Linked DNA regions of Rattus norvegicus. Each later gene encodes a partner of the first gene's protein in a complex. Links are inferred from orthologs where the notes say so. Each region holds a gene or a part of one and is shown on either strand. Other genes may lie near its edges.

The links.
Region 2: Arid1b (region 1) and Dpf3 share a complex: the UniProt entries of both Homo sapiens proteins name them as parts of the neuron-specific chromatin remodeling complex. The link is inferred for Rattus norvegicus from reciprocal best matches to the Homo sapiens genes ARID1B and DPF3.
Region 3: Arid1b (region 1) and Dpf1 share a complex: the UniProt entries of both Homo sapiens proteins name them as parts of the neuron-specific chromatin remodeling complex. The link is inferred for Rattus norvegicus from reciprocal best matches to the Homo sapiens genes ARID1B and DPF1.

Annotation. Positions count from the first base shown.
Region 1 is NC_086019.1:48,323,458-48,327,098, forward strand, and holds part of Arid1b (AT-rich interactive domain-containing protein 1B), read left to right. Parts: coding exon 1-97; intron 98-2,188; coding exon 2,189-3,641. UniProt on the Homo sapiens protein: Involved in transcriptional activation and repression of select genes by chromatin remodeling (alteration of DNA-nucleosome topology).
Region 2 is NC_086024.1:108,853,780-108,858,160, reverse strand, and holds the start of Dpf3 (zinc finger protein DPF3), read left to right. Parts: upstream 1-1,535; 5' UTR 1,536-1,557; coding exon 1,558-1,589; intron 1,590-4,381. UniProt on the Homo sapiens protein: Belongs to the neuron-specific chromatin remodeling complex (nBAF complex).
Region 3 is NC_086019.1:93,732,389-93,736,800, forward strand, and holds the start of Dpf1 (zinc finger protein neuro-d4), read left to right. Parts: upstream 1-1,528; coding exon 1,529-1,557; coding exon of another isoform or gene 1,558-1,560; intron 1,561-1,744; exon of another isoform or gene 1,745-1,958; coding exon of another isoform or gene 1,959-1,966; exon of another isoform or gene 1,967-2,441; intron 2,442-2,448; exon of another isoform or gene 2,449-2,702; intron 2,703-2,896; coding exon 2,897-3,057; intron 3,058-3,130; coding exon 3,131-3,238; intron 3,239-4,412. UniProt on the Homo sapiens protein: May have an important role in developing neurons by participating in regulation of cell survival, possibly as a neurospecific transcription factor. Belongs to the neuron-specific chromatin remodeling complex (nBAF complex).

The DNA.
Region 1 (3,641 bases):
TAAATCCGGTCTGTTGGCTGAGAGCACGTGGGCTTTGGACACCATCAACATTCTCCTCTATGATGACAGCACTGTCGCCACCTTCAATCTTTCCCAGGTGAGGCAGCTGCACACAGCTGGCAACAAGTTGGCGTGTTCTAAAATGGAGTATGCATAATGCTAAGCTGGTGCCTAAGGTGCTGTGCAGCCAGCATCCAAGACTGAATCTCTGTAGTTAGTGTAAAGCAGCACTAGTCAATACGTAGTTGTCTGGGTACTCACTCTGGGATAGCAACTAATTTCTATCTTCAGGGTACATCATGTGAGGTGTGAGTGTGTGTCTGTGTGAGTGTGTGTCTGTGTGAGTGTGTGTCTGTGTGAGTGTGTGTGTGTCTGTGTGTGTGTCTGTGTGTGTGTGTGAGTGAGAGAGAGAGAGAGAGAGAGAGAGAGAGAGAGAGATTGAGACTGTTTCAATAGGAGTGATTAAACCCTAACGTGGAACTGATCTATTACAGAAAGTACTTCTCAGTGCAACTTAGTATCTTTCTATTGATGTTACTGTTTTTCAATCATTTGTTTGAGGCAGGGTCCAGCCTGAGCCAACTGTGTGATGTTGAGCCCCTGCTGCCACATGCTGTGGTTGTAGGGAGCACCACCACATCCCATGCTGTGTCTTTTTCCCCAGTGGAAAGTATGTAACACATTTCATAGCACAGATCTCATTGGCCATGTCCCCGTCTCGTTAGAATGACCAGGGACTTCTAGCCATGCCTGCCTCCAGGTCACCTCCCCACATCTGCCTTCTCCGGGTCATCCTAAAGTCCTCACTTGAAACCCTGCTTCTTCCGTCATCCAGGGAGCACCCCACCCTCACTCACCCCCAGTTCAGAGCTGGCCTTAAGGTAGCTTGTAACAATATGGCTAACAGCAGGAAGCCTGAGGAAGATGCCCCTGTCAGTGAGGTATGGGCTTTAACCTGATGTTCAGAATAAAAATGTGAGAGGCTTGTTCTCCCTGTGGGCTGTAAACAGCTCCTCACCTGAAGACACTAGGTTCTCTGCCTGCCGCTGAGATAAAGACCAGAACTTTCTACCACCCCCTTTCTTTCACTGAGTCTTCAGTGTAGACCAGAGGCAGCTCTCAGCTGGTGGACTGTGTTAATGGGTCAAAAACATTGCATGCCCTAATGATGGTATTTAAGATGTGTGCTTAAAATAATGTGTCCAGCCTTCTCGAGAACCTTCATCCTCTTAATAGATGAACTCTGGCCGGTTGTACATTTTTATGCCCAGAAGTGCTTGGTTAACTTGCCCTTTTCCCCAAGGAAGCTTATGACAGGGAGGGGGAGAATTCTTCCCCTGGGGAGAATACCTTCAGGACCACAAAAACTGCTTGGTATAGCTATGTGCGCTCACCCGGGACAGGCGTGCCCAGCCCTGGGAACAAAGAGGAGATGTGAGATTATGGTTGGTCTCACAGCATCTGTCATACAGAACCCACGCTGCATGTCCCTACAGCTCATGTAAGGCTGGCTGTGTGTGGAGTGAGTGATACAGACGGGAGCACTCGACTTTCCACAGGCAGACTCTGTCAATGGCTCTTGTCTTTCATTTAGCATTGTGAATAACTGAAATGTAAAATTGCATTTTATAAAGCACTTTAGTTCATTTATCAGGGACTAAATTGATTTGTTTATAATTTTCAGTCTTTATGAGCGACTACATTACTAAAATTATCTCCTCCAAAAGATATAGAAAGAACGTAAATCAGGACAACCTATGGTACCTGAGACAAAAATAACCATAAAAATCCTAGGAATAATAACCATAAAAACCCCAGCAGGCGATTCCCAGATAAATAGTAGAGGAGCAAATAGATTCACTTTGGGTGCAAGAGTCTATAAAACCCTCGCTCCTGCTCCTCACAGTGTACTCCCTAAATCATGCAGGCCGAGAGAGTGGGGAGCTCTGCACACACTGGAGCCATGGCTGGGGAAAGCTGGGGCCAATGCTGGCAGCGCCAGCTGGCAGTGAACTGGAGGAGACACACTTGTGCACCCTTAGTCCATCCTCGGGAAGGTAGCTCTCAGACGCGTGGTGTGCCCTCTAGGGTCAGGGCAGAAGGACATTAGAACAGTGTGAAGTCTCTACCCAAGGCCCCTCTGTCAGAGCTGGTGTCCTGACCTGTACCTGCTCTCTCCCCTCTCTAGCTGTCGGGGTTCCTGGAACTACTAGTGGAGTACTTCCGAAAGTGCCTAATTGACATTTTCGGTATTCTGATGGAATATGAAGTGGGTGACCCCAGCCAAAGGGCGCTTGATCACCGCACAGGGAAGAAAGACGACAGCCAGTCCTCGGAGGACGACTCTGGGAAAGAAGAAGATGATGCCGAGTGTCTGGAGGAGGAGGAGGAGGAGGAGGAGGAAGAGGAGGAGGAGGAAGAGGAGGAGGAGGAAGAGGAGGAAGACAGTAAAAAGACAGAGTCAGAGGGCAAGAGCAGCTCTGCCCTAGCTGCTCCAGACACCACTGCGGACCCCAAGGAGACGCCGAGGCAGGCCAGTAAGTTTGACAAGCTGCCCATAAAGATTGTCAAGAAGAACAACCTGTTTGTGGTGGACCGGTCCGACAGGCTGGGTCGGGTTCAAGAGTTCAACAGCGGGCTCCTCCACTGGCAGCTGGGTGGTGGCGACACCACTGAGCACATCCTCACTCACTTCGAGAGCAAGATGGAGATCCCTCCTCGCAGGCGTCCACCTGCGCCTCTCAGCTCCACGGGTAAGAAGAAAGAGCTGGCAGGCAAGGGCGATTCTGAAGAGCAGCCAGAGAAAAGCATCATAGCCACCATTGATGATGTCCTGTCTGCCCGACCAGGGGCCCTGCCGGAAGACAGCAACCCCGGACCCCAAACCGAGAGCGGCAAGTTTCCCTTTGGAATCCAGCAGGCCAAAAGCCACCGGAACATCAGGCTCCTGGAGGACGAGCCCAGGAGCCGAGACGAGACTCCCCTGTGCACCATTGCGCACTGGCAGGACTCCCTGGCCAAACGCTGCATCTGTGTGTCTAACATCGTGCGGAGCTTGTCTTTCGTGCCTGGCAACGACGCAGAGATGTCCAAACATCCGGGCTTGGTGCTGATCCTAGGAAAGTTGATTCTGCTGCATCATGAGCATCCGGAGAGAAAACGGGCGCCACAGACCTATGAGAAGGAGGAGGATGAGGACAAGGGGGTGGCCTGCAGCAAAGATGAGTGGTGGTGGGACTGCCTCGAGGTCTTGCGGGATAACACACTGGTCACATTGGCTAACATTTCCGGGCAGCTAGACTTGTCTGCTTACACAGAGAGCATCTGCTTGCCGATCCTGGACGGCTTGCTGCACTGGATGGTGTGCCCGTCTGCAGAGGCACAGGACCCCTTTCCCACTGTGGGGCCCAACTCAGTTCTATCGCCACAAAGACTTGTGCTGGAGACACTGTGTAAACTCAGTATCCAGGACAACAATGTGGACCTGATCTTGGCCACACCTCCATTTAGTCGTCAGGAGAAATTTTATGCTACATTAGTTAGGTACGTTGGGGATCGCAAAAACCCAGTCTGCCGAGAAATGTCCATGGCGCTTTTATCGAACCTTGCCCAGGGGGATACACTGGCAGCGAGGGCAATAG
Region 2 (4,381 bases), on another chromosome or scaffold:
AGACTGGGTTTCCATATGTAGTCCAGGCTGGTTTTGAACTTTAAGGGAGCACTATCACACCTGGTTCTCTTTACAGTGCATCAAAAACAGCTTCCTAATCGTGAGACTCTGTAATGAGAAGAGAGGGTGGGGGAGAACATCACCCTACTAGGCAAACAAAGAGTTAAATATTTCCAGTCTGCACACACGGACTCACTCAGCTTTGCTGGGCTTATCTGTAACTCTAATAGTGAATGGAGTTGGAATCTGAAAGTTCCGAACTGCTTTGTGATTGTATTTTACTTTATTCATGGAGAGTCGTAAAAGGCGAGAGCAGGTGGAATTGTGAACTGCAATTCAGCATCTCTCGGTTTCCTTTTCACTCTCCAGCTCTCTGCTATTTGACCTGATTAAACAGCCAGGGGATAGCCAGACTTCTATATGCTAACGATAGAGTCTCTGGACTCTATGTGATTTCGTGCGTTTTCGCCCAGTCTGAGTCTCCCTGTGCTCCGTGGAAGCCTGAGTTCGCAGAAGTCTTAGTTTCTTCAGGGGTTCACCAGACTCTAAGCAGCCGAAGACTGGGGAAGCCTCCAGTCACGTCTGAACATTCACTTGCAGATTCTTTTCACCTCCTATCTTAGTCCAGAAAGGTGACGCCTGGATTCGCAGAGCCATTCCCGGAGGGGACTCTAGCAACACCTACAATTGTCAGGCTCTAACAATTTCTGCCTAGTTACTGGCTTCCCTAGCTGCGTTTCCTAAAGTTGCCTCAAATCTTCCCCAGCCTTCTGCCTAAAAGGTGCCAGGTCTCACTTCGTTCCCAAGCTGGTCGTGTCAGATCTTCGAAATCGTCGACAGTGGAGAACGGTGGTCGTAGGGGACCGTGCAGAGTGACCACCTGTGAATTACGTAACAAAAAACCATGGCTGAGACATTCCAGGGGGAAGGGAGTTGCTGCCCTGGACTCTCCCGTTCTCAGAAACCGACCGAGGAAGGTGGGTGAGATAAAGAAAACACTTCGGGAACAAGAAAATTGAACAGCGGCAGAACCCAGAGCATTTTTAGCAAAGAGTGGAGCACAGTAGTAATTTCTTGGAGGAAACTGCAGCCTTCCAACTTTTTGCACTTGTAACACAGTGGTGTACCCGAGACTCGGGGGTTAAAACCGTGATATACAAAGCCCAAAGCTAATGAATGGGATTCAGCATTTTTGTTGGCATTATGTAAATATTCTTGTCCAGGAGCGCAAACTCTGCGGTTATTTAGTAAAGTAGGGACTCAAACTAAGCGAGATTGCTCTCCCATGTATCTCCACTAGTCCCTATTTGAAAGGGCGCTACTAACACGGTACTGCCCCTTTAAGACCTGCTCGCTCTCGGGCTCTACAAAAGGGAGTGACCTCTGGGCTTTGACAGCTCCCCTAATAACTACCACCACGCAGGCTCCGCCCACTTGGCGACCAGCCGCGCCGATTGGCCGGCAGACCGGTATCCCGTGCTCTGATTGGCCTGCCGCTTCCCCTGAGCGAACCTTTAGAACTCTGAGACAGACAATATTCTGTTACATTGTAGCAAAATGGCGACTGTCATTCACAACCCCCTGAAAGCGTAAGTAAGACTAAAAAATGTACATATTCCGCGTGGTTTCAATATGAAAAAAAGGCGCCTTGCGGAGCGCAGCCGGCGCTCGGCTCTCGCAGACGCCTCCCGCTGCGCCCGGGCTCCTCTTTTCTTCCTGCTCTTACTTCTTCATCTTTTTTCCTCCCAGCGCGCAGAAATGTCAGGAGATGCAATTAACAAAAAGAAAATTGTTAAATTTGTGTTCTGCTTAATTGGCTGACCCGGACCGGGAGGGAGCACAGAGCGCCGGCGCCGGCTCCGGAGCTGCGGGGGTCGTGTGCAGCTCGGGTCTTCACGGTCCCCGGAGTCCCCTGCCTCTCCCGGCGCCGCGCGGGGCTGGCTGAGTCCGGCCGGAGCGCGGGGCAGGGGCCGCGTCCTGCGCTCTGCTATGCCCTGCGCTCCAAGCCGGAGCTTCCCCGGCCCCGCTGCTTGTCCACCGGGGCGGGCAGACCGACCGCAGCGGCTGCGGAGTTTTGCAGGGCGTTCGCTCTGCCTTCCGAGCTCTCCCAGGGAGTTTGTGTAAACCTTCCGGAGTTGGGAGGACGGCGCGCGGAGCGGCGGGTCCCGGGAGTCCTGGGGCCCAGGTGCTTGCCCCGGGCTTTTCCACTCCGGCAGCCGGGGATCAGGCGGGCGCTCCGGGCGGTCGCCGGTGTGTCTGTGTATTTGTAGGCTAACTGGCTCTAGTAAATTAACGATCTGGGTTAACTTGAGGTTGATATGGAGACGGGGAAACTGCAGGTCTTATTAATGGTGTGCTCGCCTGCTCTGGGTGAAAAGCTGAGGCGGCGGAGGCGGCGGTGTAGGGCTCTGGCGACAGCGAGGGGCAGGTGCCTCCCGGAGACTTTGAGCGGACAGAGGGGGGCGGGCTGCGCAAGGACTCGCGGGGGCCGGTTCCGATCGGAGCTGCCTGCCTGCCCGTCTTCCTTCCTTCCTTCCTTCCTTCCTTCCTTCCTTCCTTCCTTCCTTCCTTCCTTCCTTCCTTCCAGTCGGTGGACTGAATATGAAGCCGCCAAGTCTGCGGGTGATCGTGGAGCTGGGGGTGGCCTGGGAAAACTAGTGTGGCTCTCAAGGGGCGCTATTGGCAGGGATGTTGGCAGAGGGTGGATCCTTGGGAATCGCGGCGCGGCGTGGGCACCGGGTGGGTGCCGAGTGTACTAGGACTTCACGCCCTGATGAAAGCCTCTGGGAATCGGAGGGTGCGCGTGGGTGTTTAGTACCAATTCTTCCCGGTCTGTGTCAGTGGTCGATCTTGGCTTTTAACTGCGCGCTACAGCGTCCTAAGCCCTGGCTCCGGGAGTCGAAAACACCGTTCGCTTTGGGGAGCAGCAGGGCGGCGGCGAGTGTGTGTGTGTGTGTGTGTGTGTGTGTGTGTGTGTGTGTGTGTGTGTGTGATTCCTAGTGCCAAGAAACGCGTAGGGAGAACCCGCTGCGTTTGCACCAGCCAACAACCAGGAATAGGGCAGGGATGTCCCAGATCTCGGAGTTTCCACGAGATACTGCGGTAAAGACAGGGGCTGAGCTTGATGCGAGTTCCTGGCTCCGGTTCCCGCTCGGAAGCTCAGCTACTTTGCACTCGCGACAGCGTTTAACCTGAGAGGGGAAAAAAATGTTTTATGGCAGAATAAATGGGCGTAACTTCGCCGCGTCCTCGCCGACTCCCGCCACCACACCGCTGGTGCCGTGAGTTTCTCCAAAACCCACACAGCTGATTTGCAATTTCCTCATTTCCAGTCGAAATCACGTAGCAGAGCTGATGCTGCTTGGTAAACTCAGGTCTGAGAGATCTATTTGCTATGTGTACGGGGTTCCTCATTGGGAAAGCGGCATCCTTGGTGCCCGGGAGCGGGCTTACGCTCGGGCGCGCGCAGGAGCTCCACGCTCCAGGGTTCCCCAGATCTTTTCACTTTTTTTTTTTGACACAGAAGCGTGCGTGTATTGGAAATTGTGGGGAGAAGGAACAGAGAAGCTAGAAGGTGGTCAATCTCGGTTGATAGAATTAGTTCTGAATTATCCTTGTATCCCTTAATAATTGGAAACACTTGCCGTGGGATGCATTTGTAACTCCGTCTTGGCTCACGCACAGGGGCGCTCACCCACAACACCCCTGCCTGCCCTTTCCTCAGAGGAAGTCCAGTGGTCACTTATAATTAGCCATCCCCTTTTGTATCCCATCCTCTTCCCCTGAGGACTAAGGGTGTAAACAATAACCCCAATCAGCCAAGCTTTTTGCACCCTGGACATTTTCAAAACTCCGCACGCAGGAGCACACACACATCGTTACTGGGAGACCGAGGCCATCTGCTTTTATCATTATTATTATTATTTTAAAAACAACTTGTTTAATAAAACATCCTATACATTTCATTTGTTTTTAGAAGTTGCTGACCAGGAAACAAAACACACGTGAATAAATTATGCATGGGCTAAATTAGAACAAAGCAGAGCAACGCATCCAGCCGAAGGGATGGATGGGGGCGCAGGGAGGAGGAGGAAGAGTGAGGGGAATGGTTTGGAGAGCTTACGTGTTTATCCTTGTGTGCCCCTCCTGACAATGAGGGAGCTCCAAGCCACATTAGCATTTTCTCCGTGTGCAAGCGCTCTCTCTCGTCTTAAAAAGGCAACATCACGGACGCCCCCTACAGAAACTGGTCACAGAAAGATTTCCTCTTGAGCCTGGGGATAAGTAGCAGTAGTAACGGTGTTGGGAAGAAGCCAGCTCAGGTTTCTTTCATGCCACCCCGTGTAGGGCTGTGCCTTAGACTCTGGGTCCCTTTTCATCT
Region 3 (4,412 bases), about 45 Mb from region 1:
GTGCCGGGGAACGGATGGGTCAAGGCCTTGGATGATTTGATATGGGTGGGCGGATGGGGACATTTGTAAAAAGGAGCTAAGTCTTGAGATGTATTGTGTGTTTGAAGTGCGGGGAGATCTTGAGACTTGTGAGGATGGGTGGACCGCCCCCTGCTGGACAAGAGTGGTTTTGTATTAACACTTGATATGCTAATTTATGCAGCCACTCTAATCAGAATGCTAAGTTATTCCCCAGAGGGTGGGGCTGAGTGAGTGAGTGGTGTGTGTGTGTGTGTGTGTGTGTGTGTGTGGTGTGAGACTCAGTAGGTCAGCTCATTCTCTGGGGATCTCTTACTGTGGGTGATGGTAGGAGAGAAAAGAAGACGAGGCTCCTGTAGGGATGGATGACAGGCGCACGAATCCTACATCCAGACAACAGTCAGGAGCTGCGAACAGGTAAGGTTTCCTCAGGATCTCAAAGTCCTCCTCTGGAAAATGAGACTAGTAAAGGTTTAGCGTGGAGTGAGTGTTAGGTGCACAGTAGGTGTTAAGTATTCACTCAACAAATATTTGTTGAACACCTACTAAGGCAGGCTACTAATTCTTCCTAATAACAATGTTACCGGGGCTGGGGATTTAGCTCAGTGGTAGAGCGCTTACCTAGGAAGCACAAGGCCCTGGGTTCGGTCCCCAGCTCCGAAAAAAAAGAACCAAAAAAAAAAAAAAAAACAAACAAAAAAAAAACAATGTTACCACTTTATGTCTTGGTACATATCAGATCCTCTTTGTAGATATCTTCTCTGTGGAATAAGTGAATTTATTAGTACCTGCCAGAGATTAATTCCAGCACTTGGTGGTGTGGAGTCACACACTAATTCCAGCACTTGGAGAGACAGAGGCAGCAGAATTGACCAGCTTGGGTTGAACAGCAAGATGCTGTCCTTAAAACAGCCACTTACCCTGTTACTACTGTAATCTTCAGTCCGTCGAGACAGGCCCAGAAAGCTTAAGTAATGCGCCTGAAGTCCTATCGGCGAGGATTTGAACCCAAGAAGAATGACGGCAGTTCTGTAGTGAGGTGGCCGCGAGAGTTATCTCTCAGTCACGATGGATTCTCTAGAGTTTGGAGTGCCAGGTGGCGTCTGGCGCGCCGGTGACACCGCCGGGTGGGCACCTGCGAGGTCCCCGCGCCTGTGGCTGGGTGTGCGTGAAGGTGGGGTGAATGGAAGTCTGCGAGTGTAGTGTGACTGTGTGTAAGCGGCCATGTGCGCGTGTGTGCGTGCATGCGTCTGTGCACGTGGGGCTGGGAGTGCATGTGAGTGAGCGTGTGTGAACCACTGCGTGATCCTCCATCCCTCTGGGTCGGAGGACCCGCTAGGGACTACCACTCCCAGCATGGCCTGGGCGGCCCGCCCTGCCAACCTGATTGGTTGAGATCCTCGTGCTCCCGCCCCCCGGGAATGAATGGATGGGCGGCCTCAGCGCCCGCCCGACCGCTGGGAGGACCGACCCGGCAGGGACCTGCTGGGGGCAGGACCCGGGGAGCAAGATGGCCACGGTCATCCCCAGCCCCCTGAGGTGGTGCGGGCGTGCGCGAGGCGGGGGAGTCAGCGCGGGCGAGTCTGTGTGGCTGCGAGTGCGTGTGTGTGTATGTGTGCGGCCGCTGGGGGTGGGGCTGGTGGGGTGTCAGGGGGCTGTCACCGCGTGCGGGGGTGCGAGTGTATGTGACTGTGGGTGTCTGGCAAGAATGGTGTACGACGCGTTGCTCCTGGACGGGTGGAGGGCGTGGGGGAGGGGTCTCCAAGGATTTTTAGGGGAAAGGGGTCATGTCCCCTCCCAGGGATGCTAGGGTTTGAGAGAGGGTAAATGATTTAGAGAAGATGGGGCCTGGGTACACTCGAGTCGAACCCACGCTACCTTTGTCTTGGGGTGTGGAGTGTGTTGTGAGACTTATACATTGCTTTTTGTTTTGTAGCTGAATGTGTGGGTATGTATAGGATTTCTTTTATTCTGCACTACCTATCTGAGTATTTGGGTCTCTAAGTGTGTGCACATGTCTGGTGAAACTGCACCATTTATGTTCCGTGTCTCTGGATAGGGAGCTGTAGGGATAGGTCTAAATATTTGCACGAACAGAGGCAGACCGGACTGTCCCTCTGTTTCCAAGGGGTGTACCTGTGTTTGTGAATGTATTTTAAATTTGGGTTTGTTTTTCCCCGGAGGGTGTGAATGTGTGTATGTGTACCTGTATAAATCTCTGTGATGTCTTTGTATTGTGTGTTTGGCTGAAGTGTCTCTGGATGAATATGTAAGCGCATATGTAAATGATTCTAGGGTCCCTATCTTTTGACAACGTGTGACTGTTGGGATGAGTGTTGTGTGGTGTGTTTCCATGTTGTGGGGCTTTGTGGATAATCTTCCTCTGGACACATCTGGGGTCTCTGGATACATGGCATTCATAGGTAGTTCTATGGATATTCTTTTAAAATTTGGAATATTTGTGTTCTGCAAGAGATGTGCGGCTGTGCGACAGAGAGAATTTGTTTGCTACTCCTTTGTGAATATTGGGATATGTTTCTCTTTGTGTGTGAATCCCGTGTGGCCATGTGCGATTTGTTTGTATTGGATGTTTGGCTACATGTGTGGACGGGTCCCGGTGTGTTTTGGTCTGTTTCTATATTGTCTGTGAATACTTCTTAACCCGAGACATAATCAAGTTTTAGGTAACTGCTTCCCTGCCTGCACCCTGCCCCGCCCCCGGATCCTGAGGGGTGGGAGGAGATGGGGGAGGTGAAGGTGGACCTGGTCGGCTTGCCCTTTGAGGACCAGCGGGAACGGGCCGCGGGGGAGGGTGCTGGGCCTCCTCGCACCAGCCCTTGCTGACAGCCGCCCGCCCACTGCTCGCCCGCCCCCGCAGCCTTGGCGAGGACTTCTACCGGGAGGCCATCGAGCACTGCCGCAGCTACAACGCGCGCCTGTGTGCCGAGCGCAGCCTGCGCCTGCCCTTCCTCGACTCTCAGACCGGCGTGGCTCAGAACAACTGCTACATCTGGATGGAGAAGACCCACCGCGGGCCTGGTACCCGCCGCGAGGCTGGGGCGGGGCGGGGCCTGCGTCCAGGGACCTCACTCTCACAGCCTCTCTCCTCTAGGTTTGGCCCCAGGACAGATCTACACTTACCCCGCCCGCTGTTGGAGGAAGAAACGGAGACTCAACATCCTGGAGGACCCCAGGCTCCGGCCCTGCGAGTACAAGATCGGTGGGTGGAGCTGTGTCCCCTGCGCTTGCTGTGGCCCCAGTCAAGGCCTTCAACCCCCCCTGCTGCCCGTCTGAACTGTCTGAACTTCGTCTTTATTATCTTGAGTGTCTTCACAGCAGGGTATCTGTCCCTGGATGTCTTGAGTTACTTTCTTTGAGTTCCTGAGCTGCCAGCTGTACCTGCTATGTGGGTCAGGACGAGCAGGTGTATGGAGGACGCGGTGTTATCCATGTCTAGATGTATCAAGTCTGACTGTACGTGTTTCTGAGTGAGCTGGGACACACCCGTGTCTGGCAGTGTTTCTTTCTGTGGGTGCTTGAGGGCTGTCTCACCGTGTATGTGTTAAGAGTTAGCCACAGTTCTCCAGCTGTGGGTCAAGACCCCGCATAACCTATTTACATTCACGATTTGTATCTGTAGCAAAATTACTGTTACAAAGTAGCAACGAAATCATCTTATGGCTGGGGGTGACCACAACATGGGGAACTGTATTAAATTTAGGGTCACACTTTTAGGAAGGTTGAGAGCCACTGAGTTAAGGGTGTCTAGTTGTATTCACTGCTTGAGTGTTTTAGAATGCCTGTTCCTTTCTAGGTGTTTCCAAGAGAGAATATGTATCAGAAAGTGTGTATTTGATTGTGTGTGGGTGGTAGGTCTGTGCGTACCTAGCTTTTTCTGGGCTCTATGTGATTCTGTCAGCGCATCCTGTTAGGGTAGTGTCTGTGAGAGCCTTTCTGGGTTAGGTGTTTCTTCTGGAGTTTTCCAGTGTGTTCTGGAAAGGCAGACATTGGTCTCGTCCTCTGTCCAAATGTGTGTGTGAAGGTTTGCTTGTATCAGGAGTACTGGAAGTGCTGACTGGCTGTGATTTCCGGTGTATGTCAGACTGTGTTTCTCTGTGCAAGTGTGTGACCACATTTGAGTGCTTCTCCTTGGGGTTGTCTCTGAGTGTCCAGGTGTATCACGTGGCCTGCCTGTGTCTTCCTAATTAACGAAGGCCCAGATTTCTCTGAGGCTCTGCCTGTCTCTTCCTGAGTATCTCTGTATCCAAGGACTTAATCGTATCTCTTCTGTGTGTCCAGCTGTACTCAAAGGTTGGCTGTGTTCCTTCGTGTGGCTGGCCATCTATCTGCATGTCCCGCATATGTGTCTGTATGTATCCTATTCAAATGTCTTT